Macaca mulatta: one gene and its partner. The protein of the gene in region 2 interacts with the protein of the main gene of each other region in a biochemical or structural test. Links are inferred from orthologs where the notes say so. Each region holds a gene or a part of one and is shown on either strand. Other genes may lie near its edges.

Evidence for each region.
Region 1: the proteins of CBX5 (region 2) and CHAF1A form a complex in vitro, tested with the Homo sapiens proteins (2 studies listed by BioGRID). The link is inferred for Macaca mulatta from reciprocal best matches to the Homo sapiens genes CBX5 and CHAF1A.

The regions. Positions count from the first base shown.
Region 1 is NC_133424.1:5,262,179-5,265,829, forward strand, and holds part of CHAF1A (chromatin assembly factor 1 subunit A), read left to right. Parts: intron 1-92; coding exon 93-319; intron 320-869; coding exon 870-1,038; intron 1,039-1,139; coding exon 1,140-1,220; intron 1,221-2,101; coding exon 2,102-2,194; intron 2,195-3,498; coding exon 3,499-3,651. UniProt on the Homo sapiens protein: Acts as a component of the histone chaperone complex chromatin assembly factor 1 (CAF-1), which assembles histone octamers onto DNA during replication and repair.
Region 2 is NC_133416.1:61,432,400-61,436,050, forward strand, and holds part of CBX5 (chromobox protein homolog 5), read right to left. Parts: intron 242-3,651; coding exon 141-241; intron 1-140. UniProt on the Homo sapiens protein: Component of heterochromatin that recognizes and binds histone H3 tails methylated at 'Lys-9' (H3K9me), leading to epigenetic repression. In contrast, it is excluded from chromatin when 'Tyr-41' of histone H3 is phosphorylated (H3Y41ph).

The DNA.
Region 1 (3,651 bases), on a different chromosome or scaffold from region 2:
GATGAATCCCACCAGCACCCCGCTGTGTGCGTCCATGGTGCCTCCTTTCTCCCATTGCTGGAAGACCCCATCGGGTCTCTTCTTGATTTCAGACCCTGGCCGGCTCCTGTGGGAAGTTTGCCCCCTTTGAAATTAAAGAGCACATGGTCCTGGCCCCTCGGCGTCGGACCGCCTTCCATCCAGACCTCTGCAGTCAGCTAGACCAGCTCCTCCAGCAGCAGAGCGGCGAGTTCTCCTTCTTGAAAGACCTCAAAGGCCGGCGGCCCCTGAGGTCCGGACCCACCCAGGTTTCCACCCGGAATGCAGATATTTTTAACAGGTCAGAGCCTGAGGAGGTTGGCCTTCACCCACTAGTGACGCTGGAGGGCAGCATCCTGAACCCTGGGGTCCCCGAGGTGGGAACTTGGGGTCCTTCTGCTGCTTGCCTCCTAGTGCCCTCGGGCCCTGGACTTCGGTGCTGACTAAGGCCTCTCTCCACCTGGCCTTCCTGTGAGCCCCTGAAGTCTTCCTCTCCCTGTCTTCCTTGCTCTTCCCGGAGGAATCTTACTTCCCTGCTGGTCTCCAGTGAAGGATACCCCTCCCTTCCCCCCATCTTGCAAATTTCCTGTTTCCACAGAACCTCCCTTGGTAAAAATGCTCTGCAGCTGCACCTGGGCAGCCTTCTTCCCTCTCCCCTGCAGGCTGCACCCTCCTCCGTCTGTCCTTCCAGTCCATGTTCCTGACCTTTCTTTGGGGATAGGCAATGCTGCTTTTTAACAAATGCCCATCTTTCTAGAATTGTTAGGCCATCTTCACTGGGAGGTTCCCGAGAGGTTTGTGAGCACGTCTGTAAGGCAGCGCAATCCTGAGCCTGGGGTTTTCCTTCTCAGTGACGTCGTGATAGTGGAGCGTGGGAAGGGCGATGGCGTTCCCGAGAGGAGGAAGTTTGGCAGGATGAAGCTCCTGCAGTTCTGTGAGAACCACCGGCCGGCCTACTGGGGTACCTGGAACAAGAAGACGGTGCTCATCCGCGCACGAGACCCCTGGGCCCAGGACACGGTGAGCCGGCCCCGGAGTGCCTCTGTCCCTGCATCTCCTCACTGTGCCCCTTTCCTCCAGCCCCGAAGGCAGCTGTGAGTCCCGTGTGTTTCTTTTCTCAGAAGCTCCTCGACTATGAGGTGGACAGTGATGAGGAGTGGGAAGAAGAGGAGCCCGGGGAGTCCCTGTCCCACAGTGAGGGGGTAAGGATGTGCCCTAGCTGTGTTCACTGACAGATGGCTTGTATTTGAGTCCCTGTCCCACAGTGAGGGGCTAAGGACGCAGCCCAGCTGTGTTCACTCACTGACAGCTGGTGTTTGACCTGCTGTGCGGCCTGAAACCCGAACGTACCTCCTCTCCCAAAATCTCATCTGGTGACACTCGCCCACATGGCTGCTGGGGGTGGGAGCCCATCCGCATCTGCACCATGGCCCCACAGCCCCCTCTCGCCTCCTGCCGGCCTGCCACGCACCATTTCCACCTGACTGCCCAGCTGCTGTGACCTAGTGGGCTTTCTGCCGACGCTCACAGTGTCTGTCAGGAGGCCATGCCGAGCAGATGTTCACAGCTTTACATTTTTTTGTTTCTTTAAGACAGAGTCTCACTCTATCGCCCAGGCTCGAGTACAGTGGCGTGATCTCAGCTCACTGCAACTTCTGCCTCCCAGGCTCAAGTGATTCTTCTGCCCCAGCCTCCAAGTAGCTGGGACTACAGGCGCCCGCCACTACGCCCAGCTAATTTCTTTTTTGTATTTTTAGTAGAGACGGGGTTTCACCATGTTAGGCAGGATGGTCTCCATCTCCTGACCTCGTGATCCACCCATCTCGACCTCCCAAAGTGCTGGGATTACGGGCGTGAGCCACCGTGCCCGGCCAAGATTTGTATTTTTAGTAGAGACGGGGTTTCACCATATTGGCAAGGCTGGTCTGGAACTCCTGACTTAAGATGATCCACCCACCTCAGCCTCCCAGAGTGCTGGGATTAGAGGTGTGAGCCACTGCGCCTGGCCTACTTTATGTTTTTAACAAGGCATATACTCTGCTTTTCTATCTGCTGAACTCTTTTTTTTTTTTCTCCTTTTGAGGATGATGACGACGACATGGGAGAGGATGAAGATGAGGACGATGGTTTCTTTGTGCCCCATGGGTACCTGTCTGAGGACGAAGGTGTGACAGAGGTGAGGGAGTGAAGAGGGAGTCACTGGCTCAGAAAAAGCTCATTTCCGGACTGGTGCTCAGTGGCCTGACCTGGCAGGGTGACGGGGGTCCCAGCCCAGCCATACGAGATTTGGACTGCCTTCTCAGCAAGCAAGCTCACTTGTGGGAATGGCTGGGCCTGAACTTGGTATTACCTGGAAGGGTGGCAGACAGAGGAGGAGCTTGCAAGTGAGGGGAGCCATAGGAGGAGACACCCTGGTGAGGGAGCGTGGCCGTGGTCTGGGTTAGAAGGCTGGAAACCACCCTAGCTGACATACAGTCAGCATGCAGCAAGACGTGTGCATCATAAGTTTGCATTTGATGACTTACAACAATCAAGTGAATGTGGGTAACCACCACCCAAAATAAAACATAGAACTTCCCTGTCTCTCCAGAAGACTCCCCACGTCTCTGCAGGTGAACCTGCCTGCCACCCCTTTCTGGATTCCGTAAGGTTGTGGAACTTTCTTTCTTTCTTTTTCTTTTTTTTGTTTTTGAGACGGACTCTCATTCTGTTACCCAGGCTAGAGTGCAATGGCCTGGTCTTGGCTCATTGCAACCTCCACCTCCCGGGTTCAAGCAATTCTACTGCCTCGGCCTCCCGAGTAACTGAGACTACAGGCATGCGCCACCACAACTGGCTAAGTTTTGTATTTTTAGTAGAGACAGGGTTTCACCATGTTGGCCAGGCTGGTCTTGAACTCCTGACCTCAGGTGAGCCACCGCACCCGGCAGGAACTTTCTTTCAAGCAAGTTGTTTTGGGGCTCTGAAGGCCTGTCATTTGGGAAATGGGATTTGGTGGGAGTATCTCAGGCCTGTTGTTTGGGAAGTGGGGATTTGGTGGGACTGTCTCATGGTTGTGTTGGAGGGCTATGCATTCCTTGTGCATATCTGACCACCAAGGCCTGAACTGTCTGTCAGAGAGTGGTCTCAGGCCCTACATGTGTCTGCCAGATGCCCGGGCCATGTGGGTAGGCACCCGACCCTGTTAAACAGCTCCACGATCACACATTCACCAGAAATTCAGAGGGGTGTTAAAAGAGGCCTCATGGGTGAGCTCAGAAATATCTTGTGACTCTCCCAAAGGAGACCAGGTGTGAATTACTCCATCTGGAAGAGGGGCAGCCAGCGCACGGTGTGCTCTGCCCTGGCCCTGACACTGTGAGTTTTGCGCCCCTGTCCTTTCCTCTGGCTCCCCAGCCAGCTGAGACTGGAACCTCAAAAGAGTGCCCGGGCATAGGGGAGCATGAACCCCAAATAAACTTCTGCTTTCTAACCCACAAGGAGTGTGCCGACCCTGAGAACCATAAGGTCCGCCAGAAACTGAAGGCCAAGGAGTGGGATGAGTTCCTGGCTAAGGGGAAGCGCTTTCGCGTCCTGCAGCCCGTCAAGATTGGCTGCGTGTGGGCAGCTGACAGAGACTGCGCAGGCGACGAC
Region 2 (3,651 bases):
ACACTGTTTCAAAAAAAAAAAATCTCTGACATTGAAAATTCATGGTTTGGGAATACACAATCTTGCCACCCTATCTTCCGCACAAATTCAAGTCACTGGCAAAGAAACACAATTGTAACATGAAGCCAAATCTCTCTCACCATTTCATTAGGAACATTAAATCACCACAGGAATCTGTTGCCCCAATGATCTTTTCTGGTTCCAGTCCTCTCTCAAAGCCCCGAGCGATATCATTGCTCTGCTATAAATAGAAGACGAAGAAAGGTTACAGCTTGTGGAAAGAGTAAAGAAACTCCCTGTTTCTAGGCTCAACAAAACACAACCTAAGTTAATATCTCCTGATATCATTTCTGTCACCAATTCAGAAAAATTTTTAGAACTTAATACTAAGTACTGACAGTGACAATGAAGTGACAGTGATGCCAAGAGATATTTTTGTAAGATGTGATTATCGGCCAGGCACGGTAGCTCAAGCCTGTAATCCCAGCACTTTGGGAGGCCGAGACGGGCAGATCACGAGGTCAGGAGATCGAAACCATCCTGGCTAACACAGTGAAACTCCGTCTCTACTAAAAAATACAAAAAACTAGCCGGGCGAGATGGCGGACGCCTGTAGTCCCAGCTACTCGGGAGGCTGAGGCAGGAGAATGGTGTGAACCCGGGAGGTGGAGCTTGCAGTGAGCTGAGATCCGGTCACTGCACTCCAGCCTGGGCGACATAGCAAGACTCCGTCTCAAAAAAAAAAAAGATGTGATTATCTTTCCTGGAATTCCTCCAGAAGATTGGAGGTGAACCCTAAAAGTCTCTAATGTCCTATAAGATATTCTGGAGTCAGCCAGGCATGGTGGCTCACGCTTGTAATCCCAGCACTTTGGGAGGCCGAGGCGGGCGGATCACAAGCTCAGGAGTTCAAAACCAGCCTGGCCAACACGGTGAAACCCCATCTCTACTAAAAATACAAAAACATAGCCAGGCGTGGTGGCAGGTGCCTGTAACCCCAATTACTCGAGAGACTAAGGCAGGAGAATTGCTTGAACCTGGGATGCGGAGATTGCAGTGAGCAGAGATCGCACCACAGAATTTCAGCCTAGGCAACACAGCAAGACTCCGTCTCAAAAAAAAAAAAGATACTCTGGAGTCAACATCTAGGAATTCCTCTAATCCCACTCACTTGGAATCTCCTTAATATTGTAAATAAGCTTCTGAAATGTTAAAGAATACCCTGTTTACCCTAACTATATCTTTTCATCTTATGAACTTCAAATATACTACCTCTCTCTCAATCTTTATTTTTTTAGACTTTTAGTTTACCTTAACACTAACCAATAATTTTAACACATTTCACAGTCGCCTATATTTATGAAAGAATAGAGATAAGAATTATGCAAGGCCAATACTATTAAATAGCAAAATTTCAGAGATCACAAACACCAATACTTATATGCTTGGTTGGACAGAAGGCCCTGGGTCAATGCCTATCCCCTCTGGATGTAGATGATTGCTAGCATTAGAAGGCAGAACTGGACTGTGATTGAAAACAAAAACAAAAAAGAAAACAAAAACAAAAAACTGGCTTGGTGCAGTGACTCATGCCTGTAATCCCATCACTTTGGGAGGCTGAGACAGGAGGAGACTGGAAGTTGGAGACCAGCATAGGCAACTGTCTCTGTAAATTAGCTGGGCACAGTGGTGCACACCTGAAGTGTGCTACTCCAACTCAGGAGGCTGAGGCCCAGGGCCCAGGAGTTCGAGGCTGCAGTGAGCTATGATCATGCCACTGTGCTCCATGGTGGGCAACATAGTGAGAACCTGTCTCTTAAGACAGAAAGAAGAAAATTTGATAATTGATGAGATGAGTACTGAAACTTGGTCTAAATGCAGTAATACAATCTAGACAAGGAGCACAGGTTCTAATCCAGGTGTAATAATACTGATGAGAGCCAAAAAGCAAAATTTTATACAAGCCAGGTAATTTTTTTTTTTTTTTTGAGACAGTCTCCCTCTGTTGCCCAGGCTAAAGTGCAGTGGCGCAATCTCGGCTCACTGCAGCCTCCGCCTGCCAGGTTCAAGTGATTCTCCTGCCTCAGCTTCCCGAGTAGTTGGGATTACAGGTGCATGCCACTGCACCTGGCTAATTTTTCCATTTTTAGTAGAGATGGGGGTCTCACCTTGTTGGCCAGGCTGGTCTCAAACTCCTGGCCTCAGGTGATCCATCCCACCTCGGCCTCCCAAAAGTGCTGAGATTACAGGCGGGAGCCATCACACCCAGTTACGCCTGACTAATTTTTGTATTTTCAACATGGTTTCACCATGTTGACCACACTGGTCTCGAACTCCTGGCCTCAAGTGACCCACATGCCTCAGCCTCCCAAAGTGCTGGGATTACAGGTGTGAGCCACCACACCCGGCCTAAACTAGAGAATTTTTAAAAACTTTATTATGGAAGATAATGTTAGCCTCTCCAGTGACAACACAAAAAAAAGATTTAGAGGTGCCCAAATGAACTAAATATCTACTGCCTGATTTTCATAATAAAATCTCTTTGATCTTATGTTCACTTGCTTTCCTCTGAGACATACAAAGCATTTGGGGTCCGGGTGGTCCCCAAAGATACCAAAATCCACAATTGGAAGGAAATTCCATGCATGGATCAATGAGAGATACTGACTTTTAAAAACATAGCCTCTTTTAGGGGCGCTTACGGGGAAGAAGTTCCCAGATGTTCACACAGCTGCTCACAGCTGGAATGCTGGCACATGGACTAAGTTGTAAATCATAACTGGCAACTGAAAATAGTTTGCTACATAGGGAGGGAAGGGGAGGCAAATGGAAGAAAAATGTTCAAGTTGCTGAAAAGGAGCCGGGGCGAAGAAAATGCTAAAATCATCATACAGGCAGTAATCTTAAATCAGGCATAATGCAAACTAACAAATTTCTTCTCCAGGGGTCTTAAAAAAGATACACAATCCCCTCCTGTACCTTTAAAACATACAATCACCTATCATCTCAGCTGTCTACCTGACAGCAGCCAGTACTGCTAAGAATGCTATCAGGGGCCCCAGATGAACATTATGATGTAAGGGACATGTGGGGGTTGTTTTCAAGGTTGGCAGCTTCAGAACCTGGCCTAAGAACAAAAACTCTCTGCACTGGCCAGTGCTTCTAAGCCAGATTATTCAGACAGCTCCTTTTTAAAAATGACAGAGGCCAGGCGTGGTGGCTCACGCCTGTAATCACAGCACTTTGGGAGGCCGAGGCAGTTGGATCACCAGGTCAGGAGATTGAGACCATTCTGGCTAACATGGTGAAACCCTGTCTGTACTAAAAATACAAAAAATTAGCCAGGTGTGGTGGCATGTGCCTGTAGTCCCAGCTACTAGGAAGGCTGAAGCAGGAGAATCGCTTGAACCCAGGAGGCAGAGGTTGCAGTGAGATCGTGCCACTGCACTCCAGGCTGGGTGACAAAGCAAGACTCTGTCTTAAAAAAAAAAAAAAAATTCTAATTTTACTGGTCTGGGGTGCATCTTAGGCACTAGAAATTTTTTCAACGTACCCCCCAGGTGATTATAATGTGTAGACAGGGTTAGGAACTAATGTTCTAGAAAGGTATATATCTAATTACAATGAAGATAAATAGGGATGATTGTGGCT